Mytilus edulis: one gene and its partners. Each later gene encodes a partner of the first gene's protein in a complex. Links are inferred from orthologs where the notes say so. Each region holds a gene or a part of one and is shown in the gene's direction. Other genes may lie near its edges.

The links.
Region 2: actin-related protein 2/3 complex subunit 2-like (region 1) and actin-related protein 2/3 complex subunit 3-like share a complex: the UniProt entries of both Caenorhabditis elegans proteins name them as parts of the arp2/3 complex. The link is inferred for Mytilus edulis from reciprocal best matches to the Caenorhabditis elegans genes arx-4 and arx-5.
Region 3: actin-related protein 2/3 complex subunit 2-like (region 1) and actin-related protein 2/3 complex subunit 4 share a complex: the UniProt entries of both Caenorhabditis elegans proteins name them as parts of the arp2/3 complex. The link is inferred for Mytilus edulis from reciprocal best matches to the Caenorhabditis elegans genes arx-4 and arx-6.

What each region holds. Positions count from the first base shown.
Region 1 is NC_092345.1:92,658,705-92,669,995, reverse strand, and holds the start of actin-related protein 2/3 complex subunit 2-like, read left to right. Parts: upstream 1-5,517; 5' UTR 5,518-5,611; coding exon 5,612-5,685; intron 5,686-8,410; coding exon 8,411-8,445; intron 8,446-8,854; coding exon 8,855-8,913; intron 8,914-10,388; coding exon 10,389-10,442; intron 10,443-11,101; coding exon 11,102-11,147; intron 11,148-11,291. UniProt on the Caenorhabditis elegans protein: Functions as actin-binding component of the Arp2/3 complex which is involved in regulation of actin polymerization and together with an activating nucleation-promoting factor (NPF) mediates the formation of branched actin networks.
Region 2 is NC_092349.1:81,607,600-81,618,939, forward strand, and holds the start of actin-related protein 2/3 complex subunit 3-like, read left to right. Parts: upstream 1-6,252; 5' UTR 6,253-6,487; coding exon 6,488-6,493; intron 6,494-7,861; coding exon 7,862-7,958; intron 7,959-9,029; coding exon 9,030-9,106; intron 9,107-11,340. Other genes in the region: GPN-loop GTPase 3-like, read right to left, coding at 1,740-1,848, 6,075-6,122. UniProt on the Caenorhabditis elegans protein: Functions as a component of the Arp2/3 complex which is involved in regulation of actin polymerization and together with an activating nucleation-promoting factor (NPF) mediates the formation of branched actin networks.
Region 3 is NC_092344.1:98,208,974-98,220,161, forward strand, and holds the start of actin-related protein 2/3 complex subunit 4, read left to right. Parts: upstream 1-6,087; 5' UTR 6,088-6,158; coding exon 6,159-6,161; intron 6,162-7,254; coding exon 7,255-7,373; intron 7,374-7,649; coding exon 7,650-7,761; intron 7,762-8,194; coding exon 8,195-8,290; intron 8,291-9,003; coding exon 9,004-9,180; 3' UTR 9,181-9,202; intron 9,203-9,596; 3' UTR 9,597-11,188. Other genes in the region: mitochondrial carnitine/acylcarnitine carrier protein-like, read left to right, coding at 35-159, 761-823. UniProt on the Caenorhabditis elegans protein: Functions as actin-binding component of the Arp2/3 complex which is involved in regulation of actin polymerization and together with an activating nucleation-promoting factor (NPF) mediates the formation of branched actin networks.

The sequences.
Region 1 (11,291 bases):
TATATACACCAATCAATTAGATGTAACCAAAAGTCTCTTAATGCTAGTGGAATACGTAATTTTTCCCTTTGGGATCAAATTCTTCTGTCAGCTGTTCCTTCCATCCGTGTGTCCGTAGTAATTATTGTAAAAGTACAGATTTAGGTCATAGCTTGTCCGGTTCAGATTCGTAGTTTAGATATCGGTCAATGGCGGACGAATGCAAGAAAATTTACAAAAATAAACGATGTTTGACAAGTTATTTGGAAAGGAACATGACGTTTTTAAAGCAATAAATGGATTAAACATTTACTGGAGGCAACTTTTATCCCGTTTAGATAAAGCAACAAACTTATTTTGCCGCCGAAATTTAGGTTGATGCACGTTTTCAAGTAACAAGCACCGGAACTTGCAGAAATGCACGAAGTGTTAAAATGTTGTATTTTTATCAAATAACCCGCTACACACTGCAAAGACAATGCTTCAACTTCTTTTCTAAAGATAATGAATAGTATTATGTCTAAATTTCTTTAATTATCAATAAAAAATTGATGTTTCATCAACTTTGTAAAATTTGAAAATGTCCAATGACGGAAGGGACTGAAAGCGAGTATCGTCAAGAACAGGGCGACTTGTTTTCGCTTTTGGGGGTCAGGGAAAGCGAAGTGACCGTCGGGAAAGCGACTTCTTCGCCCAAGTCGCCTGGTAACGTAAGCCCTGATCTTGATGAATGCTTTTGAAAATATTACCCAGCAAGTATTAGATTCAGAAATGGTGAATAGGTCATTCTGATTTCAAATTATGTACTTTTTTATAGACAAGTGTATGAGTAATTTTTAAAATTTGATGGACCTGAAATCCTGAATCAGTCGATTTACATTATCTAGAAATTCTGGTCCATAAAATTTTACCAAGTTTAATACTCTTCGGAAGTGACGAATTTTGGTAGTTCTGTGAAATTTTTTGGAAACATAAATATTTGTCCACCTCAAATGGAATCATAACTTATTTTATCATTTCTGTTGGATATTTCTGGAAATATCGTGCAAAAATAAGCTCAAAAAGGGTAGGAATTTGTAACTACGCAAAAATTCCTAACCGGCAAAGCAAATTTCAGGTCAAAATTAGGTCTCAAAGTTCCCCCAAAATTTGCTCTCAATGTCCCGACATAATAAATGGCTTCAGCGTTATGACATCGAAGGAAGGCGTCAAAGAAAAAAAAACAAAATAGCCTGGCCAGACGTGGTATTTATTTGGACTACATAGTATTCAGTACATTTATACCTCTATTGTGAAAAACTGCTTCTATTCAATATGGCTGAACTAACAATGAAGGGGTCCATTTGTAAAGAACCAAAATCAATACTTCGAAGACTTTGCAGTGTTGCTGTGTCTGGCAACACAAAAAGTTCTCTCTTCAGACTCTTGGCTATTTACATTTAAAATGTTTTGGTTGTGTAACGGGAGTGGAAGTTTCCACTGGCTTCGTTTTCCCGTTGTCTACCCAAGTTCTGGGATATTGGACAAAGTACGTAAAACTACGTAAATATAAACAAGATGTTTATTTGAAGACATACATTATGGTTGAACATACGATTACATGAATAAATATACTAAAATACGGTGGTGGCTAGTCTACTTGTCCTTATAACGTTCCATATTTGAAAGCCAAATGATATGAGCGTCTGCTCATTTTAAATCCTTAGTGTAGACTGCCCAGAACCCGGTGAGTGACGTCATACTTATAGTTCCTATGGACAACGAGCCCGGCCGGGCACGTGCCAGAACAGGAAGTCCCGACAAGGATAATTTCATGGCCGGTCTCGGAAGAAAGAGTTACGGAACTATAAGTAATTCTAAAGTTAACCAATATCCCCAAATAAATAGAATATAGACAAGTAAACAAAGTGACCACCATTACACTCCCCCTCTCTTAAGACATAATGTGCCCACACATTAGTCCAAAGATCGGTGAGGTATACTTACCAAAATTTAGAATACAGACACATATAATTATCAACAACAATTAATTTACTGTTAATGTCAATAAATAATTTGATAAATAGTTCAAAGTATTCAATTGTCATTCACTAAATGTTCAAAAGTCACAAATACATCACGAGACATCATCACGGAGTAAGGAATCCAATTATAAAGTTCGAGCGGAGCATCCAGGCACACATCTTGTCCAAGGTTCCAGGTAGGTAAATAAGGTAAAATTCGTCTAGTAGAGGTTCCAAATCTGTAAAGTAGTCCAAGTAAGTGTTCCCCAACATTTATAATTCCATGTGGTTTAGTTACGTTAAACTTATCGGCAAAAAGGCCAATATAAAATCCAATATGTTCCCTCATTGTGGCCAGCTATCCACGCACTGAAACAGTTTCAGTTTTACCACCTATATTCTGTCAGACACTGGAATAAATTAAGAAGCACATTCTTCTTATAAAATCCTGACTCACCAAGAGTCTTTAAAAGTCTATCATACACGAGTACTGCACCACTTGATCGGGTGCCCCAATATGTAATTTTATTGGTCACCGAAAGCATATAGCCCATGGTATTACTTTAACCATATAAAACACACATTTCTATACTGAAATCCATACAAACTGATTGTTTGTTTATTAAATATATTCAAAAATTAGAAAGTCATATAAAACAATTGAACTGTAATAATAAATCATTCCTTGTATTCCAGCAATCCCCAAACAATATTCTTAGTCATGTGGACAACATACCCATGGTGAACCAATTAAGGTTTACAATAAAAATGTATACGCAAAATATACACCTATTCTCGCGCCATTCTAGCACCTAAGGTATTTCCAAAATTGCCTCTATATGTATACACCACCGAAAGCAGCTTCCAACAACAGCTAAGATAATGAGTGTACGTTCTTCTATTATCTTTATTCTAGTCACAACTCGTACCAGACAACCCTATTCCAGCTGTATGACAAAAATGTCATTTTAATCCAAATCCTCGCTATATCCACAATTTCTACATTTACCTAAGCCACATTGCTTAGCAACTGAAAAGATTCAGTATTATTTTCCTCAACTGACGTAACAATCCCACCAAACTGAGATAATTCAGTTTATTTCCAAAGATCAACGTTAAAATAAATATCAAGATATTATATTATAAATATAACCGAGTACAAAAACTGTACTTTTAGTCCTTTTTACAATATCAAAATAAACCGGACAAATTTCCAGTATAATATCCATGATGGCACAATATAGCCTATGACTTACGGTACCACTTTTAAGTTTGAGTATTGTTAATTCCCTCCTTTCCATGCAAGAAAGGTAAATAATTGTTATTACATCCACACTGACAAGACATAGATATGCAGACAATACTGCATGACAGAAATGCAAGTACAAAGTACAAAATGTACTTTTTAATCCAAAACAATTTGAAGTATAATCAAAACAAATTATTTGATTTTCCAAATCCATTTATGACAATAAATATGAATACGAACCAATAAACAAAACTAACAAATTAAACAACTTTTTCATGGTTAGAACGACAATGAGTATTCCCCATTGGTACCTCCATACAAACATTCCTTAGATGGCAGGTGCTTTGACGTCGAAAATATGACGTCATATTGTAAACATGGCGTAAACAATCGCCGACTTCCTGGAAATTGAAAAGCCATAATAAGCTTTCTACCACGATAAAATGCAGCTAAATATTTTATTTTGATGTGGTGTACACAAAAATGTTGTGTTTGTTTTCCTCTTATGCAAGACCAGCATATTTCCTCTGGAACGTGAACAAAATGTTCACCTTGTGCTCCAATTTGGAATTTAAAATCTGGATTTCTAATTTCATTTTCTGAAGGTAAGTCACCTTTAATTGTATTGTTGTAAAAAAACGATATTACATGCAGTACTGGTCATTGTCGGACCGGCACAAACAGCGGAAATGACAAGCAGACGAACAATAAACTGTTCGATTTTGACTCCTAGGGATACAAAAATACCTTTTATTCCGACCATATCGCCGAAATAATGTACAAACACAATGTTTGTTTAAGTTATTGTCCTCAAATATCCCTCGGACGAGCCCCCAATGTAACGGGAGTGGAAGTTTCCACTGGCTTCGTTTTCCCGTTGTCTACCCAAGTTCTGGGATATTGGACAAAGTACGTAAAACTACGTAAATATAAACAAGATGTTTATTTGAAGACATACATTATGGTTGAACATACGATTACATGAATAAATATACTAAAATACGGTGGTGGCTAGTCTACTTGTCCTTATAACGTTCCATATTTGAAAGCCAAACGATATGAGCGTCTGCTCATTTTAAATCCTTAATGTAGACTGCCCAGAACCCGGTGAGTGACGTCATACTTATAGTTCCTATGGACAACGAGCCCGGCCGGGCACGTGCCAGAACAGGAAGTCCCGACAAGGATAATTTCATGGCCGGTCTCGGAAGAAAGAGTTACGGAACTATAAGTAATTCTAAAGTTAACCAATATCCCCAAATAAATAGAATATAGACAAGTAAACAAAGTGACCACCATTACAGTTGTTTACCTCGTTCATGTGCAAAGGTAAATACGGAAATGGAGATAGATAAGGATATATGTACATTTGTATGTCACCGTAGCTATTTATTAGAGTACAATTATATACTAGTACTACACTATATGTTGTGTGTACTATATATTTACTACGTTCATTCATTGACGGACAGTTAGAAAAAGACTTTACTCTATATACTACTCTGCACGAAGTTATTATGCATGCAACCCGCCACTTTTTCTAGCACTATATATACGGTGAACTCGTACTAATGCGAGTTTCACACACTTAAGCATGCACGCTACATAAGGGACACCCTAACTTTTTCCCTACTTTCAGGTAATCACATTTTTTTTAGGCCTTAACATGCATGTACTTCTATCCAATTCATAGTTCAATTTAGAAGGAAACTTCAAGTTAACATTTGAAATAAATGTTTATTATAATTAATATTTTATGTACTTTCAGTGTGAAATAAATGGTTTGCAACATTATATTTCGTCACATATTCAACGCCCTATTTTAATTTACAAAGATTAAGTGGCCATATTACCCTGTGACATGTAATTCTGTTTAAGTGTTAAAATTTTATTTTTCATCCAAGAATGAGTCAGTACACAATGATTTGTGTTATGGCCTGTCTCTCCATTTGTCTCACCGAGTCTCTGTGACCGATGTGGGCGTTTTTTTACCATGGATTTCTTTGAATGACCCATGAAATTTTTCAATAATATTCTTCTACTTTTAAATACCTATGTTTTTAGTATACCTAACTGTTACTTATAACTATTGTCATTCAAAAGTTCTTGATAAAGCCTTAAAGGCAACTTCCGTCTTCCCGGCTGTTTTCAAATCAGAATTAGATTATCCAATAAAATTACCTTTATCAAAACTGCCATCTGGTAAGGCAATTATTTGATTCACACTTAGAGCAAACGCAATAATTTTACAAGTCTCCGGTAACCAGTACAAAAATTGGCCAATGAAAAGAAGTGTTACAAAGGCAAGGTTGGAAATCAACAACAGTTCCGGAATAAGGAATAACCCACCCTTCTTTCAGAGGAATAAGTCACTGCTAAAATGATTTTGCTTGAATTTCATAACCGAATTGTTGAAGAAACACTGAATTTAAGATTCAAAAATGCAAAAGAAGGGTAATAGATTCATTAGATTTGTATAGGGATATAGTTTTAGGGCGTTACAAATAAACCCGGTATAGTACATGCTTCCGTGTTCTTTCGATGTATCACAGTATCAGTACTACCCGTATAATGCAATAAATTGGCATTACACTTACAGCAAAAAATATAAACAATGCAAGATCTATAAAATTGACAATATACATAATTTCATGTTTGCATCACAGCTGAAGATTGACCAATCAGATAATTACATTGTGTTTATCTATTTGAATATTGGAGTTGAAGCGGTGACAAATCTTCGGGTTTTACCATATATAGGTACACAAACTTAAAACTCAATTAATTTTTTGTTGAATCATTAAAATTAAATTTGAGATCGTGTTTTCAAATCTCCTTATCATAATAGACATGTGTTTTAAAAATCTGTGTGATAAATTTTACCGTTTGGTTTTAAATTGGAATTAAAAATTGTATTTTCCCATAGAGTTTGAGGTAAAATCCCGAGAATTTCACCTCCTAGAAATTTAAAGTGCCAGGATGTTCGAAAATATGTATTAACAAAATCGTAGGATGACTTGTAGTCCTACAATGTAAGTCTGGAATGCAACTCGACTTTAAATAAAGAATTTGATGTACATGTACACAGTACACAGTACAGTAGTTGTCATTTGTTTATGTAATTCATATGTGTTTCTCGTTTCTCGATTTTTATATAGATAAAACCATTGGTTTTCCTGTTTGAATTGTTTTACAGTAGTAATTTTGGGGCCCTTTATAGATTGTTGTTCGGTGTAAGCCAGGGCTCCGTGTTGAAGGCCGTACATTGACCTATAATGGTTTACTTTTAATAAATTGTTATTTGGATGGAGAGTTGTCTCATTGGCACTCACACCAAATCTTCCTATATCTATAAATTAAAAAAAAATTAAAATAGTATCTTCGTCTCATTGGTTATTGCACTATAGACGTATTTACACTTGTATGGAAATTTGTCCGCCATTACGTAGAATCACACAGGTTCCCGTAAACTTTGACATAACAATTCAAAAAAATTGACGTCACAATAAAAAAGTGATTGTTGCTTGACATCAAAAGGTTATTCGGAGGCGATCTACGGTCATTTGGAGACAAAATTCAGCTAAATACCTAAAGTGTAAATACGTTTATTGAGAATGCATTGTGACATCACAATTTCCATTAAAAAAGAATGCATTAAAATTTATATGAATTCATATGATATACGAAAAAACATGATCTGACCAAATAATGGCTTCTAAGAAGTTTCCACTTCACAACCTGGGCAGTTTGACCGCAGGTTGTTTTGCCCACACTATTTTCTATTATTCTTAACATTAACTGTTTAGACAAAAGTTTGTTTTGATAAGGCCTAGGAAAAATTTATGATGATTTCCCCTTTCATTACTCATTAGTCCAAATAGTTTTGACGTCTTGAAAGGTTATTTAAAAAAAAAATCTGTGACCCCTTCCTATTACAATGCTGAAACCATTTTTCCAATTGGACTTTGAGATAGAATTTTCTGCAAGTATGATTAAGACTTTAACAAGTTTTTGTGTTGATTTTAGTGCTTCATTAATATAAAGGTTTACAACACCAGGATTTCCCCTGGGTCAATTATTTTTTTCGCCACCTCTTTGGCCAAAACAATATTTTTTTTCGCCACATTATTTTTTTTTTGGCCAAGTAACACAAATATATTTTTCTTTTAAAATTTTCCTTTTTTTTTTCGCACGTGTGTCACTGAAACGACTTTGAAGTACCCACTCAAATCAATTATCGATATCGAAGTTAAATGATAGTTTTAAAATCAGAGACCTTTCTGGCTTTTGTACATTTTTTGTCATAACAACAGTTTTCTTTTCTGGACTATCATTAAAAGAAGGAGAAGAGTCGTCAAAATTTTGCTTCAAACATGTGTGTCGCAAAGTGGTTAATAATCCTTGATGAAACATGTGACGGGCGCCATTTAACCATATCATTTTGTCAATCAACACCTTTATTAATTAGTCCTTTGATGTCGATTGCTATCAAATGCAATCAGCTGATTATTGATTTTCTGTCAAAATCTTATCGAGTTCAAGGTGAATTCCGAGAATTGTCTGATCAGGTAAATTCCGAGAAACCTGAAATAAAAAGTAAATAAACGAGATGGTTGAAAATAAATAGTTATATATATTAATTTCGCCAAATTCTTTCGCCAATGACGAATTTTAATCGCCACAATTATTATTTTTTCGCAAATTGCTAAAATGGCGACCGTCAGCGGAAACCCCGTACAACACAGAATAGACTTTAAACAATTAGTCTGTTACAAACCTAAGTACAAAATTTTTTTATGAGAAGTATGGAAACTAACACTTCATCTAAAATTTATACATCTGATGTGTTGATTCCATTTTAGTTTCCTTTTAACATTACATATTTGCTTTAGATATTATTCAGTCTGTTGAGATTGAGCTCTATGTTCATCATGTTTATGTTTATATTTGAATCACTTCAGTTTTCTAATATGAATGTACTTGGGAAAACTGATTAAAACTACAGTAAAAGAACCTTCAGTAGCCTAACTACCCAAAAGTAAATTTTGTTCTTTTGCATAGTATATTGGTACATGAACTATATACTGTAAATCACACTTTAATGTTGCTGCACTTAATTCAAGCCTCCTTTAGGGCATCGTCTTAGTGAAGTTTTATTTTATTTATTTTTTTATTTTAGAAACAAACCAGAATCAATTGATGTCACTGTTGCAGGTACGTTTTTTTTATTTCAATTTGATCTCTTGTGAAATCTGTAAAATCATAAGATAGTTTTAATACACTTTTAAATATGTTTAAAGGTGTAGATGTATATCATGTATAGCAAAGAAAAAGAATATATCTAAAATATTTCTCTGCACTTATCATGCTTATTCATTAATGTTAACAAAATTACTCATGACATCAACTTATTTCGGCTGTTAAATAAAATAAACACAGCATCACTTTATTTTCATAAATTATTATTGCATATGTGCTATCTTTGTTTTTTTTACTTATGCATCCTAAAACTTCATGAAAATCACTCCAGATGCAAGATAATATTTGTATGACAGTGTAATCACTTAAATAGTTTTTTTTAACATTTTTTGTGTTAATTTTTTGTTTCAATTATGTTTTACAGATTTCGATGGAGTTTTATTCCATATATCAAACCCAGAAAATGACAAAACCAAAATAATAGTAAGTATATGTGGGCTTATTTATTGGTTTTGAGCCTTTTGTGTCTCAAGAAACCATTTAATTACTTGAGAGACAGGCTTTTTCTTATCTTACATTGACTTCATTTTCAGGGTTTATTTGTCTATGATCAGTTTCCCCAACTTTTTCCAGTTTATCAGATACTACAAGCAACAGGTTAACTATATTTGGATTGTAAGGTGTACATGTCTGTCTGGCCTGGTGCATCTGACCTTGACCTCATTATCACAGAACATTGATAAGTTTACTTAATACATGTAGTTGTAGTAAAACATTCATGTTACAGACTTTCAACATGAATTCAATAACAAGTAGCCTAGTTAGATATTTCAGTGTGTGCTCTCTTATTAAAACTTTTACACTTTTCAAATATTGGGTGAAATAAATGATAGTTAGACAATATACATATAGTGTCTTGTAATATGAAATTTATTTGTATGAGGCTTAGAAACGGGGGAAATGCAAGGTTATACCGAGCATTTCCCTTGTTTCGTGCCGAATACAAATAAATTGCATATTTCAAGACACTATATGCATATTGTTTTTATACTGAAATCGATAAAAAAAATAAAAATATGTAACAAATATTGTTACAAAAAGTGTTTGGAATTTTCCTCTTGTGGTACCATTTTGGGGTATTTCCCTATGAGCGTAGTCTAGGCGGTAAAACATTGACAATTTAAGGAATTAGAAAGGGAAAATGAATTTAATTAATAATATTTAATAAACATGCTATACAAATTACCAATTTGAAGACATAACAAGTTAAGATTTATAAAGGTTTGACCATTGTTACTACACGTTGTCATGGTTGTGACGTGACGTTGTTGATGAAATACAATAGTTCCGGTAAGTAGGCGGGGCTTATAGGTTAGTTGAGGTCATTGGCGTATAAAACTAACGTTTATACGTATAGCTTTATCTGTATAGCAAAATAGCTGATTGCAGTATAATATGCAATATAATGTCAATAGGTGGTTATCATTTCTAATGTAAATGTTGATATCAAACAAGGGAAATTTTATCACTTAGCTAAGAACCAATATTTATCAAAAATTTCATAAATAATGCATGGTGTATGTATCTGTTATAAAAATAGGTTGAACTACAAATCATGAACAAAAGTAAATAACTCCAACTCAAATTTTTAAAATTCAATGTTTTAATTTAAAAGACACATAATTGCAAATTAATTTAGCAATCTTTTCCCTTCAGTGCTCACAAGCTTGTTGATTAATTCAATGTTTTAACCATGGTATTTTCATATTAAGTTTATGAAATATAAGATAAATGATACAATTCATCTGCCTTCACCATCTGAACCCCACTTACCCAATTATTATAAGTATAACCACATCCTTTGCTTGTCTTATTATTAATTTTGATATTTCCCAAATGACTAACTTGTGATGAATATATTTTAAAATGAGCAATGAGTATACCTGTTTATATTTTAGGTCAGTATTTCACTGAAATTTTACAAAGACTTAGAAGAGCATGGTGCTGAGGATGTAAGCATTAATAAATTTTATTGTTAAATTGTATGAATAATAAAGTGGCAGCTGTAATTAGTGCCACTCTTATAGCTTATCATCTTATTCAAACCCATTGATAATCTTTTTCAAGCTATTTGTTGAATTTTACTGAAATCGTTTACTGGTTATTTTTTATTTTTTGTTGGACTTTGTTTGACCAAACTTAAAAATGAATTGATCACAATATGAATAATGAGTAAAACTAAATAATGTTATTTTTTATTAAATGTCTACAAATGATGTCATTTAATATTCTGTAGATTAAAGATAGGTCTGGTTTTGTTGGGATGTCTCACTTAATACACTATTTGTTTTGTATGGTTGAAAATAAAACTAATCCTTTGTCGTATGATGATACTTATAAAAATAAGGAGATGATTTATGATTGCCTTTGCAACAACTATCCACCAAAGTTCAAATGAATTGCATGTAAGCAATTATAGGCAACCATACAGCCTTTAACAATGAGAAAAACCCATACCGTATGATCAGCTATAAAAGGCCCTGAAATGAAAAAGTGAAACAATTCAATTGAGAAAACTAACAGCATAATTTATAACAAAACAGTTTATGAAAAACAGATATGATAGATGATGAACTAACTTGTATTGTTATAAATTATTCTATTATTTCAGTTAATCAAAAGAGAATATGGTGACTTTATGACAACTACAGAAGATGGTAACTATTATGCTAATACCAATTATAAATTTATTAGAAAGATATAATTCTTTTTAAATATACACTATCAGGTTGTCTTCTCATTGATATTATAATAGTAAAATACCAGCTTCTTCCTGCAATTTGAACCTATTTTGGTTGGAG
Region 2 (11,340 bases), on another chromosome or scaffold:
AATTTCTTGTGTATAATTCTGAGTTTAGTATGACGTCCATTATTACTGTACTAGTATACATATTTTTAGGGGCCAGCTGAAGGACACCTACGGTAGTGGGATTTCTCGCTACATTGAAGACCCATTGGTGGCCTTCGGCTGTTGTCCGCTCTTTTTGAAAAACAGTCAATCTTGAAGTACAACATGTACAAAAAGTACTGAAATCTTATGTCGGTTTATGATTTATAATAAAATAAGACAAAAAACACATTCTTATTCCACAAAACTAAAAGTTTGAGTATTTTAATTTTGAAATTACCTAATTCTAAAAAAGACTTATCTTGAGGCATTTAAAATAATAAATTACAAATAAAATAGCATACATTTTTTAACAAAAGAAGAATAATTTTGACAATTTTAAACAACATTTTAGTATATTTTCTCAGATAATCTTTTATTTTTATGAAAAGCAACCAATCCTGAACTTTTAAAAGTGGAAAAATCCAATGGCTGTCAAAGATTTCCATAAAAATGAACAAATAATTGTATCTTGTTCAACAAAAACAAAAGTTTATGCATATATTATCATTCAAATATTCACATTTGATACAAAATAACTTATAAATAGGCATTTTTAATGCCTGTTTGCAATTAATGTGGCATTATTTCAAATATGAGAAGAAATATTTGCATTTTAGGCAACGCGTAAATAATTTATTATCATTTCCCTGAAAGTCATCATATTTGAGGAAAAGCAAACAATATCCTGATGTACAAAAAGTACTAAAATCATACAGCGGTTTATAATTTTACATTGAATTAAAGAAATAACTGCAATCTTATTCCAAAAAAAAAAAAAATTGCAAAAGTTTACAAGAAAAGACTTAAGACTTATCTTGAGGACTTTAAAAAAAAATTACAATTAAAATTGAATTAATTTTTACCAAAGAAGAAATTAAGTTGATCAGAAACCATAATTAAAACATCATTTTTAATCATCACAAATAAAGCATGCGTCTTTAATATCATAATATTTTTACTTTCATCTTCTAGTGACATAACATTGCTAAATATAGTACTTATTTTAAACATGGAAGTTATATTTCAATATTACTTCCATGTTTTAAACGACAACATTTTACCTGGTACGATAATATTCTGAGGATATGGTTATTATGCAGTTATGTTATTTATTTAGCTAAAATCTAAATAGAAGAATATGAAGTAATACATATGATAAGTGAAAAGTTATTTTTATTTTTTTATTTGTTATTGCAACTAAGTAGATTACAAATTAACGCATAAATGTGTCTTCATGAGGTCAGCGTTCATCGAATGTAAACACTGTAGAGTTCCGTTTGCATAAGAATTTTAAATATATATGTATCCGTCCGATTGGTGCATAAAATTAATGTACTGATCGATCGCTGACCATTGTCACAGTTACTTTCACATAGCTTGTTTGACTTTATCTGACAAATTCTATGGGTCACCGATCACTCATCAATCAGTCAAACATCCATCACCGATAATTCACCTATCAGTCAAGTTCATGTCAAACAGTTACGCCGACTGTACAGAGGGCAATCAAAATGTTCAGCAATTAAAAATATGACAGAATATATACAAGTACCTGCTAACACAGGGCAATCAAAATGTTCAGCAATCAAAAATATGACAGAATATATACAAGTACCTGCTAACACAGGGCAATCAAAATGTTCAGCAATCAAAAATATGACAGAATATATATAAAGTACCTGCTAACACAGGGTAATCAAAATGTTCAGCAGCGGGATCTAGATTGACAACATGTATTGTTCTTTTGATGACTTCTGCATGTTTTACCATATTGCTGCAGTATGTAGACTGAAATATAATAATGTTGTATAATACATTGCATAGTTTTATGCAAATTTGTCAATCAAGATTCACACTTTAGTTCCAACTTTTTAACATGTTTAAATTATATTACTTTTCAATATAAGAAACAACTGCTTCACAAGGTACAAACATAATTAAGATCTGTAAATATCAATAAAAATGTGTATCGTAGTATGGTTTTACTTCTGTTAAATTTAAAAACTAGGTTTTGGTAAAAAACTTAGAACTAGAGGGTCCAAGGACCCTGTGTCGCTCACCTGATATTTTTATTTACAATTGTTGCATGATAAATGCAACTGTTGTACTGTCGTTTAGTTTCAGAGATATAATACTAAAAAGTGCATTTGAAACCTATGTTTAATTTCAGCCATGTGGGCAGGCAGGGTCATCATACACAGTGGTCCCTGGATATCCTAGTGGTGATTTAAACCAAGTTTGTTTAAATTCAACAGTTGTTTCAGGGGAGAATTTTTGTAAAATTTATCTAACAAGAAATGCAAAGTAATGAGAAAGTTGTGAAGTAGTTTTGTTGTTGCGCAACCCCCCCCCACTTTGCCAAAAAAAAACAAAAAGGTAATAAAAAATTATCATATAAGGGCAATCTATCCTATTAATGATTTCTGCAAAATTCAGTTGATTGTGCAAGGGTTGTATAGCCAGCTGAGGTCTTTAAAAACTCTCTTTCTTTTGTTGTTGCAGATAGATCTTGACCTGATAAGCAATTTTACCACATGTCAGATTTGCTCTAAATGCTTTGGTTTTTGAGTGATAAGCCAAAAACTGCATTTTACCCCTATGTTCTATTTTTAGCCATGGCGGCCATCTTGATTGGTTGGCCGGGTCACCGGACACAATTTTTAAACTAGATACCCCAATGATGATTGTGGCCAAGTTTGGTTTAATTTGGTCCAGTAGTTTCAGAGGAGAAGATTTTTGTAAAAGATAACTAAGATTTACGAAAAATGGTTAAAAATTGACTATAAAGGGCAATAACTCCTAAAGGGGTCAACAGACCATTTTGGTCATGTTGACTTATTTGTAGATCTTACTTAGCTGAACATTTTTGCTGTTTACAGTTTATCTCTATCTATAATAATATTCAAGATAATAATCAAAAACAGCAAATTTTCCTTAAAATTACCAATTCAGGGGCAGCAACCTATCAACGAGTTGTCCGATTCATCTCAAAATTTCAGGGCAGATAGATCTTGACCTGATAAACAATTTTACTACACGTCAGATTTGCTCTAAATGCTTCGGTTTTTGAGTGATAAGCCAAAAACTGCATTTTACCCCTATGTTCTATTTTTAGCAATGGCGGCCATCTTGGTTGGTTGGCCGGATCACCGGACACAATTTTTAAACTAGATACCCCAATGATGATTGTGGCCAAGTTTGGTTTAATTTGGTCCAGTAGTTTCAGAGGAGAAGATTTTTGTAAAAGATAATTAAGATTTACGAAAAATGGTTAAAAATTGACTATAAAGGGCAATAACTTCTAAAGGGGTCAACAGTCCATTTTGGTCATGTTGACTTATTTGTAGATCTTACTTTGTTGAACATTTTTGTTGTTCACAGTTTATCTCTATCTATAATAATATTCAAGATAATAACCAAAAACAGCAAAATTTTCTCAAAATTACCAATTCAGGGGCAGCAACCTATCAACGGGTTGTCCGATTCATCTGAAAATTTCAGGGCAGATAGATCTTGACCTGATAAACAATTTTACCCCATGTCAGATTTGCTCTTAATGCTTTGGTTTTTGAGTTATAAGCCAAAAACTGCATTTTACCCCTATGTTCTATTTTTAGCCATGGCGGCCATCTTGGTTGGTTGGGCGGGTCACCGGACACAATTTTTAAACTAGATACTCCAATGATGATTGTGGCCAAGTTTGGTTTAATTTTGTCCAGTAGTTTCAGAGGAGAAGATTTTTGTAAAAGTTAACGACGGACGACGACGACGACGACGACGGACGACGGACGACGGACGACGGACGCCGGACGCCAAGTGATGAGAAAAGCTCACTTGGCCCTTCGGGCCAGGTGAGCTAAAAATCTACTGATTTTTTTCAGAAACAAAGCATTGCCTAACAATGTTTTTAAATGATCATACATACATACCTGAAGCTCGTGACCTTGATACAAAAGTTTTAAGAAAAAAGCTTATATTGTTATTTATGTTATAGTCAAGAATATATGTCTTTTGGTAAGCTACTTAAAAGTAAAATAACAAAAAATACTGATCTCCAAGGAAAATTCAACTCAGAAAGAACCTTAATATCAAATGGCAAAATTTAAAGCTCCAACACATCTTACTTATTTACTTTAAACATTGAATGAATGGAAACAACTGACATATTCCTAACTTCAAAATGTAGAAAATGGTTTTATAGCTAGCTAAACCTCTCACTTGTATAAAAGTTAAATAAAATTCTATAATATTGAATGAGTAAACAGACACAGATAATTTCTGCCTAATTGGGTGACCCAAACCATGCACACAGACATGAGGGTAGTCAGACCATACTTACTAATGATGTGACTGTCAAGGGAGAGCCAAAAATTCAGTCACTGAAGTTTTCTACCTGGAAATGTTATCGATGCACCAACCTCATGCCTCAGCAAACTTTATAGGTTACAAGTGAGAAACATATATTGACACAGAGATATTAAATAATGATACAAATAGTAGTAATGGGGGTACCTTCATGATAGATAATGGTAAAAATTCTTGCCAAATGAAGTTAATGGTAATTTTTAGTCCATGACAATAAAATGTACACTTTCTTTTAGCAGTCAGGGGACTTACTTAAATGAGTGATTTTCTAAATCACTGATTCAAGTAGCATTATTTCCATAAAGATTGGAATTAAGAGTTGTCTTTCTTTAATAATCACCTATTTAAGTAGTACAAAGTAATCACTAGAACAAGTGATTTAATTTATCATACCTCAATTTCATTCCCAAAAATCACTTCTTTAACTATCAATATTTTAATAACCCCCACTAATTTCAACATCCCCGAACAGTGAAATTTTTATCCGAACAGTAGAATTTTATTACATAATCTGAAAGATGAAACCTTGAACTTTAAAGGAAAAATACTCCCACTGCTGGGAAAAATCTGTCAAGAAAGTATCAGTTCATTATGTAAAGCCATTATAACAGCATTTTTTCAACTAAAATAGAATTTGCAGCTAAATGATAGCATCAAAGGCATAAACCTTTCCACTTCAAAGAAGCAAAAAATACATTTTTTTTCAATTTTACTAATGAAAAGATATTATTTAAACCTATGTGTTTGAAATTTTGGTAAAACTACAAAATTACAATTGGAGACAAAGCTTCAAATTTGCTACTCATTCAGGGGACTTAATGATATAAGTGATTTTTAAATCACTTATTCATTATTTAGTCCCCTGAATGTTTAGATGATAAAAAATCACCTGAATTTGACGAATCTCACTAATTTATTTCAAAAATAATGGTAACGATAATTATTTGAGACATCGGACGAATCACTGTAAGGACATTTTGAGGAATCACTGTAAAATTTTAACCAATTTGACATTAACAGTAGCTGAAAATGACCGTTTGACACATGACAGTAAAGTGCATTACCACCCTCAGACATAGTTCTGATCTCAGAATGTTTAATAAAAAGGATTCTTCATGCAGTTTTCCACAGAGTTCAGTTTTAAAGTAGCAAAATAAATCAGTATATTTAACAGAACTTACATACACATGTACATGTATGAGGTTAGTAATACCCCTTTACCATGAGGCGTCAAACAGTCATTTTCGACTAACGTTAGCATCAAATTGGTTAAAATTTTAGCGTGATTTGTCAAAATTTCCTTATCATGATTCGTAAGATGTCTCAAATAATAATCGTTACCCTTATTTTTGGGAAAAAAAACTTGTTTCATCAAATTCAGCTGATATGCACTAAAAATTACTGTTAACATCATTTGGCAAGAATTTTTACCTATATATGTCATGAGGGTACCCCATTACTACCCTTATGTAGGCTGTAGCACTGCATCACTTATCAGTATATTTAGTGTGTCAGTTTATTTTCCGTTTTATGAGTTTGACTGTCCCTTGGGTATTTTTCGTCCCTCCTATACAGAAACCACAAGCAGTTTATATGAGAAAAATTATATTTGTACACTTGAGTTGACCAAAATTAAAACCCGTCACTACCTTTCCACTTCCAGCCGGACCCATCACTAATTGTCCATATCGTGGCATTTCTTATTCAAGTGCAATACTAGCTGCGGAACCGTATGTTATTTTTTGACTATTTTGCGGACCTTATGGTGCAATACAAAATACAATTCAAGTGTGTGAGCTTCTACTAATCTTTTTTCGGTTATTTGTCAAACCGTTGCCGCTTGTGACACATCAAAATAATATAATTTTTAGGTGGGAATGTATCTATTTTTTACATTTTATTATTATAAAAAAAGCAGTTTGGTACCTTTATAGATTATTTTTCATGTAAAGGAAATATATTTGGATGTATTCCTTGACATTTTTTAAGTTATTTTTGTAGTTGTTTGAAGCGGCCTCTCAAGGAAGTGATTGGGGTGTAACAGAAACATTGAAAAAGGAAAATGCCAGTAAATAATTTGTCTTCATATCATATAGGATACTTTTTAATGAATTAAGTTTATATTTATTCGCATGTATTCTTTTTATCATAACATAGCATGCCATATTTCTATCATTTGAGAGTGCAGTCTACATTTTCATAATATGTCAAACGGATGAGGAAGCCTTGTCCCGAAAGAAATTAAACAAGTGATAGAGAAGCCCTGTCAACAATAGGATAGTCTAGCTCCATTTGACAATCGAATTTAGTAAAGGATAGGGCAGCCTTGTCCTTTAAACCAAAATACAATTAGGATAGTCTGGCTTCGTTTGAAATACAACAATCAAGGATAGGGAACCCCTCGTTCTTTAATTAAAAATAGAACAAAATAAAGTACTTCAAATGAAATTGGTGTAAGGAAGCCTTATGCAATTTCCTCAGCCAGGTAAAAAAAAATAGATAAGCCCTATTTTTATTATTTAAAAAGTATGGCATCAACTAGAAAAAGCAGTACAACAGGTCCCAAATCGTCACAAAAAATAAGTCAAGACGAGGAGGAGGCATGGACATGCGCTAAATGTACCAAAATCTTCAAAGAGCCAGAGGCTCAACTTATGGAATGCCAAAGGTGTAAGGAACATTTTTGCACAACCTGTCTTAAGAAAACAAAAGCGGAATACAGCATGTTATGTAAAACAGATGCAATGTGGTTTTGTGGAAAATGCAGGATAGTCATGGAACAACATGCAGTTACCGATATTGAGATAGAAAAAAGGTGCAAACATATAATGGAGAGTTATGAGAAAAGAATTACATCACTTGAAAAAACAGTTGAAAATAAATGTGACGAGGATAACTAAAGTCAAGCAGATTGTTTGTGAGGAAATAAAGAACTGCAATGAGTAAATGAGTAGTTATTGTTGCAAACTTCATTAGAAATTTGAATTGAGATTATTTTTGGCATATGGGAAAGGGGGAGGTGAAAAAAAAAATTCTTTAAACATTTTTTTGGGGGGGGGGATTAATATTCAACAGCATAGTGAATTGCTCAAAAGCAAAAAAAAAATTGAGTTCATTAGACCACGTTCATTCTCTGTCAGCTACATGTATTTAATCTTAATCCAAATTCAGAGCTGTATCCAGCTTGAATGTTGTGTCAATACTTGCCCCAACTGATCTGAGATCGAGATCTGTGATTGTATAAAGCTGTGCCCTGCGGAGTATCTGGTTACTTTGTCACTATAGTTATAGCCTTCACTGACAGTAGGGGTACCAATCGTGAGCAATAGCTTACAGTTCAAGTTCTAGTTGGGATAGCAAGGAAGATTAGATTTAGATATAGGGTGCCTGCCTTGTGAAAGTGTATATTAAAACACTGTGTTATTGTATTTTACAGGCTTATCACTCACAGTTTACAAACCCTCCTAAACTTATAGGAAATGTAGCATTGGTGCCACTAAGAACAAGTTACAAAGGACCAGCACCAAAAGACAGTATGTATTAAAACATAAGAATGTAAATTTACAAAGTAGTCATTTTACACAATATGTCAATTTTACATTTTTAAGAAGACATCATTATCAAATATGATCTTATTTAGTTTCACTACTTAGATATATGAATTCGGGGGTTGACAAAATGTTATCATTTCATCAGAACTTTAATTCTAGGCTTACTTCAGTTTACTTTATAATTATTATTTATATATCATGTATATGAATTCAACTGTATTAGTAAGTACTAAAATTCATAAATTTTATATTTTTTCTTTTAAGTTTCTGTCAATATTAGACTCTATATTTAATATAAAAGTCAGTCTTGAGTGGCAGAACCTTTTTCACATGTTTCATCAATGCAATTCTACGCATACATGACATACATGTAAACAAATCAAATCTCAATTTAAAAGTGCTTTTATATTATCAAATTATGTCATTTACATGTAACTTATCAGACTTAGACATGTAAACAAACTTTTATACTTTGTATTCATGCTATTGCCACCACATTAAGTTTTTTCAATATATTCTTGATATATCATTTATATACAGATAAAAAATCTATTGATTTGCAAATTTAGTAATTTAACATGCACTATAGAATTCAGACATAAGAAGATTTACAAAATAAACAAATTGAATGATGTTTTCATCTGTATATAAAAAAGAAGATGTGGTATGATTGCCAATGAGACAACTGTCCACAAAAGACCAAAATGCCACAGACATAAACAACTATAGGTCACCATACAGACTTCAACAATGAGCAAAGCCCATACCGCATAGTCAGCTATAAAAGGCCCTGATAAGACAATGTAAAACAATTCATCGATAAAACTAATGACCTTATTTATATAAAAAAAAGAACGAAAAACAAATATATGTAACACGTAAACAAACGACAACCACTGAATTACAGGATCCTGACTTGGGACAGGCATATACTTAAATAATGTGGCAGGGTTAAACATGTTAAGCGGGATCCCATACCTCCCCCTAACCTGGGACAGTGATATAACAGTACAACATAAGAATGAACTATAAAAATCTGTATGTTTATTTCAGGTAGTGACTCAGACATTATAGATGAAGCTATTTATTATTTCAAGGCCAATATATTTTTTAGAAATTATGAAATCAAGGTGAGAATTGCTATGTAGAAAAGATTGTTTTCTTTTAAAACTAAATAAGTGTTTTTGTTTTGTTTTTCAAAAGTAACAGTAAAAGTTTGTTCACAGTGATTGATTTTATGGATTATTTTATTTTGTTGATATGGAGGGTTGAAATATAATTTCCACCAATACAACAAGTGGTAGAACCTTTTTCTCTGATAAATCTTATCATTTCTTTTCAAAGATTTGCAGAAAGTTGTGTTTCGTTATATGTGACGTCACCAATAATGATTACCTTTTACAATAAGAGATACTATCTTTGTCTATCATCCTTCGTTTAATCATTGATTTAACAAATCATTACCTGGAGAAAATATTTGGCCAACTTATCTTATCTCAAACTCAACTTATCCCCAATTTTAAGATTCTAAATTTTATTACCAGCCATATTTTTAGAAATGACAACTTTTTGTCTATTCTCAAAAAAGCATGATGGAAAGACTTAGGCATGATGTATTAATTTGTGATTAGGTTGGTTTGAGGGAACTACAATTGATAATTCTGAGATATTTGGTGTACAATTGTATATTGATAATTCTGAGATATTTGGTGTACAGTCATATAATTCTGAGATATTTGGTGTACAATCGTATAAGTACTGGTTCATCTCATTTCCATGTAGATTATTTTAGCTTAATAATGATTCTGATAAGGTCAGTGAAGATGGTTCACATATGGTACAAATGTAAGATTATGATATTTGCTATTCAGTTTTATTTTTATAACCTTTTTGGCTAATTGTTTCCATGTATAATGTTTAGCTCTTCACTTTCAGTGTTGGTTCATTAAATTTAAAACTTTTGCATAGTTATAATGTTAAAGTTTGTGATAATCATGATAATGTCATTTTAAGTTGATGGACTTGTGTTAAGGCAATGATATTAATTTACATGTAGGTGTTTATAAAGGGCATACAATACAGTTTCGATCCCATAATGATTTTTTTTAAGAAAATTTGCATACAAGGAATTTTTCACCTAGGCAATTCAAATATGTAATATAAAATATACCTTCATGTGCTACTTTTAGAGATAAAAGGGGTCAACATTTTTAGACATTTACTTAAAATTTCAGTTCTTTGGACATTTCTATCCTTTTGATAGGCATACCTCACTTTTATATTTCAACAGATAAACACAAGCGGGATATTGTAGCAATGTTATAAAAATCTTCTTTCCATTAATATGTTCTTAATATGTACAACAGTTCTTCTGAAGTTATAAATTTCTACAAAGTTTCAGGAAATAAAAGCATGAAAAGTCTTTTTTTGCGGTATATTTTATTTTTTTTTCAATATTGACTTTTTTATTATAATTGGTACAAACAATCTTCATACATAATCAGTGATAATTACACTTTGAAAAAGAGGGGTCCATGTACTCGTTTTAAAGTGAAATCAGTTTGAAGGATAAAAATCAGTCGCGAAAGTAACATTTTATGTTAGCAACATCATTACCTCCCCTGTAACTGTATTGTATGCCCTTAAAAAATACCAAATAAATTATTATTTTTGTATTAGCATGGTATTTCAAGTGTTAATGCATGATAATACCCTATTATTAAGTTCATAAAATTCAGAAATAGAAAAGTGTCATAGACCAGCCATGTAACATCCTCCACATGTTTACAAGATATTATATAATTAGCTTCTTACCCATCAGTATTTATTTTTTTGAAACTTATGTTTATTTTCATTAGGATTTTTTTCACATTAATATTTAGATATACCCTTTTTAGTAAAACTGTGGCTCATGTCTAATTTTCAAAAAAAAACTTTATGAAAAGTGCCATTATACATTTATATATCAAGCCAAGCATTAAAAATTAATATTTCTGGCAAATTGAACTAAAAGTTATAGATGAAATGTTTAGTGTATAGGATATTCAAAGAATTGATATACACTGTAGTTATTATGGGGAAAAAAAACAAGAATAGATATATTTAAAAAATTTAATTGAGAAAATTGTGTCATGGAATTAGGCAAAAATCTTATGAAAAACTTATCTTAGTAGTTTTTATCAACATTTAGCAAAGTTTTATAATTAGAAAACAGATGAAACTAATAATTGCTATTATTGAAGGCTCTAACATTGATACAAACATGGGATCCAAGTAACAGCTCATGCCAGTGCCTGTTTCATTTTATTATATTTTTTGTGTGACTATATGCTTTGTGCAATCTTATTACTAACTTGTGCTATGT
Region 3 (11,188 bases), on another chromosome or scaffold:
ATTGCATGCATTTTACATTATATATTTTTTTCAGCTCCTCATGGTAAATATCCAAATGGGATTAGGGATGTATTTAAACAGCTGATGAAAGAAGAAGGATTTTTATCTCTTTATCGTGGTGCAGCACCAGTATTTCTTAGGGCTTTTCCAGCAAATGCTGTAAGTTGTTGATAGATGAAGAACGCATGACAGTTTTCTCTTTAATTCTTTTGAAAGAGAGTTAAATCTTAAATTAAAAAAAACAAGAGTCTTTAACCTCTAAAAGTTTTTAGTCTCCCCTTCCACAAAATATTTAATTAGAATTTTTTGAGCATTTTTTTTAACTTTCAAAAATCCCCCCTGATAACCAATCATATAATTGTTTTAAGCTGACAAAAGTCTTAAAAGTACATTAAATAATGCTTAATAGCTAGAAGATACATTTGTCTTTTAAGGTAAACTGCCATGTAACTTTGGTAATGATACTATGTAGATAAACTTGTCGGTTTTAAAGAGCTAAATTGACAGCCTGTCATCCTTAAAATGGCTTCCATTATCACAATTAAAAAAATAGGTGGCATAAAAGCGAGATAATTTGGAGAAAGAAGAATCCTAAGTGAACTGCCAGTGAACTGAGGATTTTCATGCAAAAAGTTACCCCTTTACCCATTCACAATAATCTAGTAAGATTTCTAATCTACAAATATTGTACATGTATCACATTGAAAACTTAGGACATTAAGCTACATATTTTATAACTTGTTTTTTTTTTCTTTTGCAGGCTTGTTTCTTTGGATATGAGTTGACAATGAAGTTCTTGTACTGGTTGCAACCTGGAGTTTGATGATAATATTGTTATAGGATGTACTAGTTATCAACAGGAGTTTGATAACAATATTATAAGATGTGCTATTAGTATTTTATTTCTCAGAAACACTAATTTTGTTGTGAGATGAAAATCAAAGCTCATTTATACTTTTATAAAGAGTATATTTTGAGTTTGTATAAACATGATTCCAATCCAATTATCTGTATACAATTGTACTTATTTATATTAAATGAATATAAATGTTGAAATGAAGTTATAATAAAAATGTAGCACCATTTAGGATATCAGTGGGAGGATGAATTATGAATTCCTATTTTCTACCATTAAAATTGCAATTGTTATATCCCATCAGCAAGATGTTTCTACAAAAAATAAATTTTAAATTTCATAAAAAAATCTATGCAAATTATAAACTCTGACAATATTGAAAGAATGCCTTTTAGTTGGTGATCCTTAAAAAATATTTATGAAAAAATGGTGATTACCATGCATGCTACATTATTATTTATTTACCACTATATTTTTGAAAGGAGAGGTCTGTGTTGCCTTCAAAAGACCCATCTTATTCTAGTATGTCTATAAACTATAGGAAAGAAAACACATTTTTTTTATAAATGTTGATGTGTCTATTTACACAGCAAGTATCACAAATATTATTTTTTTTACAAAAATAAATATATACATGTACTTTAAAAATTGTTTTTCCTTGAATTAGATATTTCATTAGTTACTTTCTAAATGTAATAGTGTGAAAAGATAAGGTTTTATTTTACAGAAAGTTAGCCATCTTTACTTTAATGCTCATATTTTATCTACTTTCGCTTTTGAATTTCTTCCAATTCTAACAGAAGCGTTCATGTTGGATACTCAAAGGAATAGAAAAGAGGAAAGCTGTAGAAAGCAATCTATTAAGATCTTGAAATTAAATACAGTTGTTTGTTCAACAGGTCAAAAATATAGTATACAAATTCCTGTATAAAACAGACAAATATATATGAAAATGAAAATAGTCACATGAACTCAAAACTGTGTGAGCTTTGACAATTTACATACTCTCCTACTAGACATGCATCACTTATCACACAATAACAATAAAATCACATCAGGCTTAAAGTTTTACAAACAGGAACATGAGAAAATAATATCATATTGAAATAAGTTTACAATAGAAATCAATGAGTTAAATGCCATTAGTGAGTTCAGATAAACCAATTTGTGATGTCAAGCATAAAGCATTTATAAAGTAGGAATTTCAGTCCTTCTTCATTACAATTTACTTATTAGTAGTTTTAGAGTAAAAGACTGCACACAAAGTGCATCAAATGTCCATAGTCTCTGCTGGTCAGCCATATTTCAACCATCTTTTTTTTTTGCCTGTCTTTGTTGTACACACAACATTTAACAAAGAGGTAACATTTATAAGATTGTAACCATGCCCACTTCAAGCAATTTATTCATAGTATGAATTTAAACCAAATATTCAGATAACATGTAGATGGTATGTTACTGCTCGAAAATGGGTTGTTGACAAAAAGAAATTAATTGAATTTAGTTTTAAGCTGCTTATTGTCAGTTTAGAAAAAGATATAGAACAAAGAGGTAATATTAAAATAAAGTATAGACAAAACAGAACAAATCAAATCATTAGGTCCTAATATAACAAGAATATATTTTTTTTCTTTTTCTAACCTATTTAAGTACGACATTGTTTTTACAAATTATGTGCAATGTTACTTACGAATACTTTTGCATGTTAGTTTAAATCTCAATTCATTTTTACATGATAGTATTTTACTTACTCTATCAAGTGCGATTTGGTGATCACTAGTGGTAGTTTGCTTTTGTTGTTTTTCAGTACTTGAGGATCCACATCCCATAGCTTGGTAGGTTTAATACAGTCTCTATTGTCCTTTATTGTAAATTCATAAGAATAGATATATGCTGTTATAATTCACCAAAACAAGACTTTGAAAGGTGATTGGTCTTCATCAAGATATCTAAAAGGGAAATTTAAAGATTTTGTTTGATAATTTTTCCTCTTGCCTTTGACAAGGATTTGATTATATTTGCAGTCCCTCAATTAAATGCCGATGGAATGCCACTGGAATACTGTCGACTGGCATAATTAACATATTCTTGATAAAAAATAGTCCAGCATTTTGACTTATTCAGTTAAATTTTATTTGAGATTGGTTTTTGTGTGATTCTTAAACAAAGTGTGATCTTGAAATTAACCCTTAGCTAGATATGAGTACCACATATACTAGGCGTGTTCAGCTATTAAAAAGAAAATGATGTCAACATTAACAGCTAGACAAGGGTTAGCCATTTGGTAAACTGATGTTATCCACACAAATTCATTCTTATACACAGATAAAAACGAAGAATAACATATTTTAAATCTATAATATGGAATCAAACAGACCTTGAAAAACCCAATTGCATATGCTACCTTCAATTTCTATTCATGTTTATATCGGGCTATATGACCGTCCACAGTCTTCAGAAGTCATCTTGGTGGTTAAGTTAAATGGTGTCATGACTTAATTACTCCTGAAATGCAGAAATATATAATCAAGTTTAAGTTTATAGTATGGGTGTCTTTCACCATTTTGGATTGTAAATAACAGTGCACTAAGGTCCAGATTTTCAATTAAGTTAGCAAAATTTGATTAGGAATGCAGATAAGTAACCATGAATTTTCATTTAAAGGGAGAAATTTATAAGATTTTAACGTATAAATATTACTAATTTTTTTTTAAGTTAGATAAATTTTGCTTAGTTTTTATTTTTTGGAAAGTTTGCTATAGCTTGCTATCGCAACTTTCCATAGGCTTCGGCCTCAACTACAGACTATCGCAATGTTCTGCTCCAAGATAATGTAGTTCTAGTGTTCGAAATCTGATTCTTGGATATTTTGAGTTGCTACTCTAAATCTTTTGAAAAGATTAAAGCTTGAATAAAAAAGGAATGAATGTTCACCGACAATTCAGGTGAATTTAACTTCATTTTAAAAATAAGTATCACAAACACTACTTTGCGGATCAGCCATTGCTTGAAGAGAAAATCAAAAGATATCTAGGCGAGACCGTTTCATTCATGAATATTTTATTAATAAACATTTTCCCGCACTATGTTTTACTCTGTACGATATTTACAACTGTTTATTATTGAATAAGTAAAAGCCCGAGTGTATCGAAAGAGTCCGGTATGCGAGAACAAGTTGATATTTGACCAAGTTGTCGGATAATTGACAAGTGATAATGGTTTGATTTATTTTACAATACACAGGTGATAGAATATAAAATAATCAATAATTAACTGGCTTATGTCTCACGCCAAGAATGAGTAAAGGTAAATACCGGCTTTTCGTCGTATAAGCTTTTTTATAGACAGACACACCTCTAATATTAGTATATATAAGGGTAATTTGGTATAGAAACTTCTTTTTTCTTTATATTTAACTATGTACAGCACACTTTGTGGATGGTTTTTAGTATGTTATGACTTTTAAAATTATATACAGATATGGCTTTTAATTTGGTTATTATTATAAGCTTATTTGATTTACATGTGTGTTATTATGCATGTCAATGACAATAATATTATAAAGATAATAAATGCTAATATGGGTGTAATTTACATAGGGAGTTTAGTCAATGCTTAAAATCTAAATTATCTCTTTCATTTCATATTTATAAAAAACTATGACTTTACTCAGTATGATAAAAATTATATTAAAATTATATATTGAATATAAAAATCATTTTGTGTCATATTTTAAGATATTTGTCCTGTTTTAAAATATAATGGATTACAATATAAAGATATTCTAGCCAATTTACCAGAAAATAAGATAATAAAAAGATAAAAACTGAAAAAGCGACTTAAAGAATAATTAAGATCATTTACTATCATCTTAAACAATCCAATTTCACTTCATGTTAAACAATCCAATATGGATTTATATGCTGATGATTCAACATTGCATTTTCATGATAAAAACATTGAAAAAATAAACAGCATATTGCAAAATGATTTAAATGCTATACAATCTTGGTGTAACAATAACAGTATGAAAATCAATGCACAAAAAACTAAGTGTATGAAATTGGGTTCAAAACAAAAACTTAAACAACTATCAGAATTATGTATTACCGTCAACGAAACATGTATTGAGAATGTCCATTCTTTCAAATTACTTGGAATAGACATTGATGAAAATTTAAGCTGGGAAGATCATGTTGATCGTATATGTAAAATTATCTCATCTAAAGTATCACTTTTATATAAAATTAAAGTATATTTGCCAATACACACAAGGCAACTATTTTATAATGCATATATTCTACCATATATAGACTATTGTAGTTCAGTTTGGGGAAATTTATTACAAAAAGATTCAGATAGAATCATAAAACTTCAAAAAAGAGTAGCAAGAATTATACTGGAATGCGATATTTCTATTCCATCTAATTTCATGTTTTCTTCTTTAAAATGGCTATCTTTTACCAAAAGAATAAAATACCAACAATCAATTCTAATGTATAAAATTGTAAATGGGCTAACACCTGATTACTTAGCAATACTAAATATTGATGATGTGCAACGCCACAACTTACGATCTGTCTCTAATAATGATCTTTTTGTTCCAAGACCAAATACAAATTTTTATAAAAAATCTTTTCATTATTCTGCAACCAAAGTATGGAATAATTTACCACTCGAAATAAAGAAATGTCCTAATGTGGAATTATTCAAGAAACATAGTTATAATCATTTTCTTGAAAATTATATGCAAGTCAACTAATTTGTTTTCCTCTAACAAAACTATATCAAATATTGTCATTTATTACCCTTTGTATATTTCAATGATTGAATTGTGTATATACTAGTAATATATATTGTAAATTAATGTATGAATGTATGAATGTTAACTGTATGCATGTATTTTGTTTGAGGGCCTCAATGAAAATTAGACTATTTCTAATTGAGTTACCCTCTTTAAATAAAGAATTTATTATTATTATTATTATTATAAAATGGTGAATATTTTAAGGTTTAGACTTTATTTGATTCACTAGTAATTTTGAGCTAGCGAGACTTTTATTACTTGCACTACCTCATGATAGTATATATTGGAGTTGTGCTTGTATACGGGTGATTTACACTTTTTCATGATTATATTATCGGAATATTATTTTCTGAGTACTTTTTCACTTTTTTTAATGTCAACAATACTTATAGTTCTTTAGTGCTTTGATATTTAATAACTGGTATCTCCGTGACCCAGTTTAGCGGAGAAGTGCGCAAGTGTTGCAATTACTTCCTGTTATTGGTACAGTACGAGATGGTGGGTGTTGATTCTAAAGCAATTTTATCTTACTGTTCCTTTTGTAGTTACCTGTTTTATGATTACATGCCCGCGTAAGAAATGCACAGTCACATATTTAGTCTGCAACTTCCAATGGAATCTGTTAACTAAGGCATACAGTGGAAATCATTTCATTTCCTGATAAATGTTCTAACCGGAAGCATAGAGAAGCCGATTTTTATGATACATTTATGTCTGTCTTAAACTATTTTTCGTATCCTCTCATCATGTTCTTTACATTTCTAAGGAATTCTCTGTTCCTTACGTAATCTGTTGAAAAGGGGGAGATGCCTGCAATGGTAAATCAATAACCATTGAATATGTGATTTTCGCCTTTCCTCACACATTTCTGTCTAAATTCTGATAACTAGACTGGACTTTTAACCAGATTCAGGGCCTTGATTGGTCTTTATGGTCTCATATGTTGACCTGAAGATCTATCTGCAGGTTTAACTTCCCTCTACAGTGCTCTGACATCCAAATTGGTAACATTGAAATAGAAATAAGATGTGGTGTGAGTGCCAATGAGACAACTCTCCATCCAAAGGGACATAACACCACTACAAACCGTGTATGAAATAAGCCCCGCTTCCCTACTACCTTATATGGAATATAAAGGGATGCAACTCCACTACTAACCATGTATGAAATATGCCCCGCCTCCCTACTAACCTAATATCAAATATACACGGTTTCCATGAGGACCCTTTTAACCAATCACATTCCTAGGAATGTATAGGAGGTAAGATAATACATTATAAACCATGTTCAGTGTTCTCACTACATTTGTAAGTGAGTGTATGAGACTTGGACTTTTAATCTTTAGTCATAAAATTAAGATATTTGCACTAAGTTCATACAACATTTAACAATTTTAATATATCTTTGAACTGACCAGTTTTGAAAATGATTAGACTCTTGGACTTGCATTATTAAGAACCCTGATACACTTGTAAAATAATATTAGGTAAGGTGTGTAGTATAAAGCTGTTTTCTTATAGGAATATGTAAGAATGACTGCTTACTTGGCTGATATTTTGAAACTTATCAGTAAATGGTTATTATTTTTCAGTCTGCTACTTTGAAGCCTTACTTGAATGCCATCAAGCACACTCTTACAGCAGCCATATGTGTCCAGAATTTCAACTCACAAGTTGTTGAACGTCACAACAAACCAGAAGTAGAAGTCAAGTAAGTAAAGTAACCTGTACTTGTCTACAAGTTTGTAAATAACAGAATTCCTCTTACATGGTATGATTTGATAACAAAAAAATTTAGTGACAAGAAAAATTGTATCTTCTAAGTTCCAGTCAGTGACACACTGTCTTCCAGTCTCAAAGAATGAAATTAAACATTAACATTCAAATAAATTATGTAATATTGACACACTGTTCATTCTTATACATTCAGTGTACATGTATAGACAGATAATAACAAAACTAATTGAACCTATCATTTTAATTTCAGATCAAGTAAAGAACTTCTTCTTACGCCAGTTGTGATTAGTAGAAATGAAAAAGAAAAAGTATTGATAGAGGGCTCAGTAAATTCTCTAAGAATAAGTATAGGTATCAAACAGGTAATTATAGCTACTTGTCTTCATGTACATCATAATTTTAATAAAAAGTATGGTATGAAAGATTGTTGTTTAACATTTAGTAGCAAATAACAAATATATTTATTAAGGATGGGAATAAGCTATTGATAGGGTCTGCAAATAAAGTTTCTTAAATAGATAAAATAGAAATAAGGAGATGTGGTATGATTGCCAATGAGTCTAATATTGACCAAAATTCAAATGAAGTGGATGTAAGCAATTGAAGACAACTGTACGACCTAATTTAAGGTTACCCCCTCCTCCCCCCAGGTTATACACATTTAACTGCTAATGGTAAGATGCAGTAATCAAAACAGTAAATTCTAATACACTTGTTAAATGACATCTCAAGAAATGATGACTGTTACTATTTTAAACAATGTACAAATGTAAATAGAAGTTTATATTTTGACAGGCTGATGATATAGAAAAAATCTTATGTCACAAATTCACCAGATTTATGATGCAAAGAGCAGAAAATTTTGTTATTCTTAGGAGAAAACCTGTAGAGGTAAGAGCTGATTATATTAGAATGAAAAATTAAGATGGTTCTGGATTTTTTTCTGAAAATAAGATTAGGCTCTGCATTAAAGTGTGTTTAAAATTAGAGTTGCAACATTAGAAGCGAACTACAAAGATGGGAATAAATTCATAATTCACTTGGAAAATCTATATTAAAAAAAACAACCTCACAGTCTTGAATAGAATTTTCTTTGTTATTTTTATATTGTACATGCACAACAAACATACATGTATACCTTTGTTAATGATGCCCAGCTTTTATTGGCAAAAGCTAGACTAAGGTGTGCATTTTCTTTGCTGAGCATTAACTATATATAAGTTTGATAAATTGTGATTAGGTCAGTTTAAAGGGAACCATTTATAATAAGTCAATAGTATAATATATAAAGTTTTATAAGCTTTGGCATATACAAGTTGCATTTATAATATTATTAAGCCCTGCACTTCATTCATGGTTCATTAATTATATATAAGGTTTAATGTTTTGTATTGTTTAAATATTGCCATTTTAGTTTTAAACAATTGTATTATTAGATCAAAATAACATAAAGAAAAGACCAATCTCAGTACATGTATATTCATAAAGGTGTATTGTGGAGGATTTTAATGAAAATTTAATAACACAATTTTATTATTTTTAGTTCAGTTATTTGTTTCTATAATTCTAACTTTTAACATTGGAATGTTTTAATTTTGTTTCAGGGTTATGATATTAGTTTTCTAGTAACGAATGTACATACGGAAGAAATGTTTAAACATAAACTTGTAGACTTTATAATTCATTTTATGGAAGAAATAGACAAGGAAATTAGTGAAATGAAGATAGCCCTTAATTCTAGAGCTAGATTAAGTGCTGAGGAGTTTCTTAAACGATTCTGATGCAGTCTTTATTTTATAAATGGTAGGTACATGAAGTAAATACATAAAAGATATAAAATGTTTCTCCTTATCTATGCAACAGTGTTTCTTTGTTATGAAACTTTATAAGAGCTAAACAAAATAATAACCTGAAGTCTACTGGCAGAATGCTTTTATTGAGTGGAATGCAAATGAACAATAATCCATTCAAAAAATAGCTGACTATTGGAAAGTGCAACAAATATTCTTATGCCAGGTATACAAGCACACAGTATGCAGTATTTCAAATATCAGCTTAAATCTTGGTCTTTCCTAAAACTTGTTTTAAATAAATACAACTTTCATTGTTTGTTTTGAATATACTGAAGCCAATTTACACTACACTCATGACATAGCTTTATATTGATTGTATAATTTTTTTTATTTTTTATTTTCAGATAGAAAATGGTGCAGCAAATACATTTTAAACCATTCCTTTATGGATACTTGTTCAGAAGAAAGATTAAAGCATGTCTCCTAGATGTATATTCTGTGATAGCTTATAAGGAAATTGTACAACACAGAAATTTCATTGTTAAGCATGTAAATTGGGTTTTAAAATGTTAGAAGAGACAAATTTTGATTCAGTATGAATTCCATAGGTCCATGAATACAATCAGACTTTTATAAAATGATCATTTGGTATATTTCTGGTGTGCATCGTCATTTAATTTGTAAAGTCATATGTATTTATACTATAATGCAAAATTACTATTTCTGATAAAAGAAAAAGAAAATTTGTACATTATTATGAATTAAACATTGATTTATTTCAAGTAGTACAATATACTACAAATAATAAATTTTTGCAGTTGTATATGATTTAAACTGTAAAACATCAAAGATTGTAAGTAGTTTGGAATACCAATATATAATTTTTGGGTAGATCTTTGTTACTAGGAATAATGTGCTGCAATTCTATATCTAAATATCTTCAGGGACAGAATAACATAGGGATTCTAATTTTAAGCATTAATGTTTACTTTATGGATGATAGTTGTAAAACCTATTTTTGCAAGATTTGTTGACCAAATTTTCAGTATTGCACCTTAATTTTGATACTTATTATTACTGTAATGTTATTGTAAAACATGAAGATACTATTTTTCACTGCCTTAAGCACAACCACATGACTACACAAAAGCACTTGACTTCAGATTGTGGAAAATATTATGGTACTTGCTCAAGAAATATTTTTATGCACTCCATGTGTGGGAAAAAATCAAAAGGGATGGGGTTTCAAACCTATTTTCCCTTCATTTTTGCATGATTTGAAAAAAGGAAATATGGAACAGGGACTCCCAAACCTCAGACCCTTGGTCTTGATATGTGAAAGTTTTTATAAAAATATAAGTTAAACTGTAATTAGGAGTCTGACAAAATAATTCAATATTTTACATGCATTTTCACGGCTTTCTAAATTGTGTACTCTAATAGATGATTGTGCTTATTTTAAAAGCTACTGTCATTGCATATTACAGCAGGTTTTGAGGAAAGTAGCTGGTAGAATTATAGTTTTGGAGGGAAAGGGGCTTTATAAGTCGAAAAAATAATCAACTAATAACTTTTTATGGAACATCTTTAATCTGTCTCAGTATTATTTTGTATATATTTCTTTTTATATCTATGGATAAAATGTGTGACAGTCAGAAGAAAGTGACTTGGAAGAAGTGTGTTTGCCAAAACCAGGTGCTACAGATTAACACTCCCAACTTGTTTCAGTTGTTTTCCCTTCAAAATAGTATTGACATATTTGATAATGATGTTCATTAATGCTTCTTTCTACCTACTAAAGTTTCCTTTATGTACCAATATGTTTCAGTTTTGGTAAATGAAGGACACGTTTTATATGAATTATAGATCAGTCATGCTCTAGGGAAATTTCAAATATAAAATACTATCATGAATATCAAAGCTGTTTAATTTTATAAAAGAAAGCTATAAACATGTAATCATTTTGTACATATATTTATACTTATAAAGGGTATAT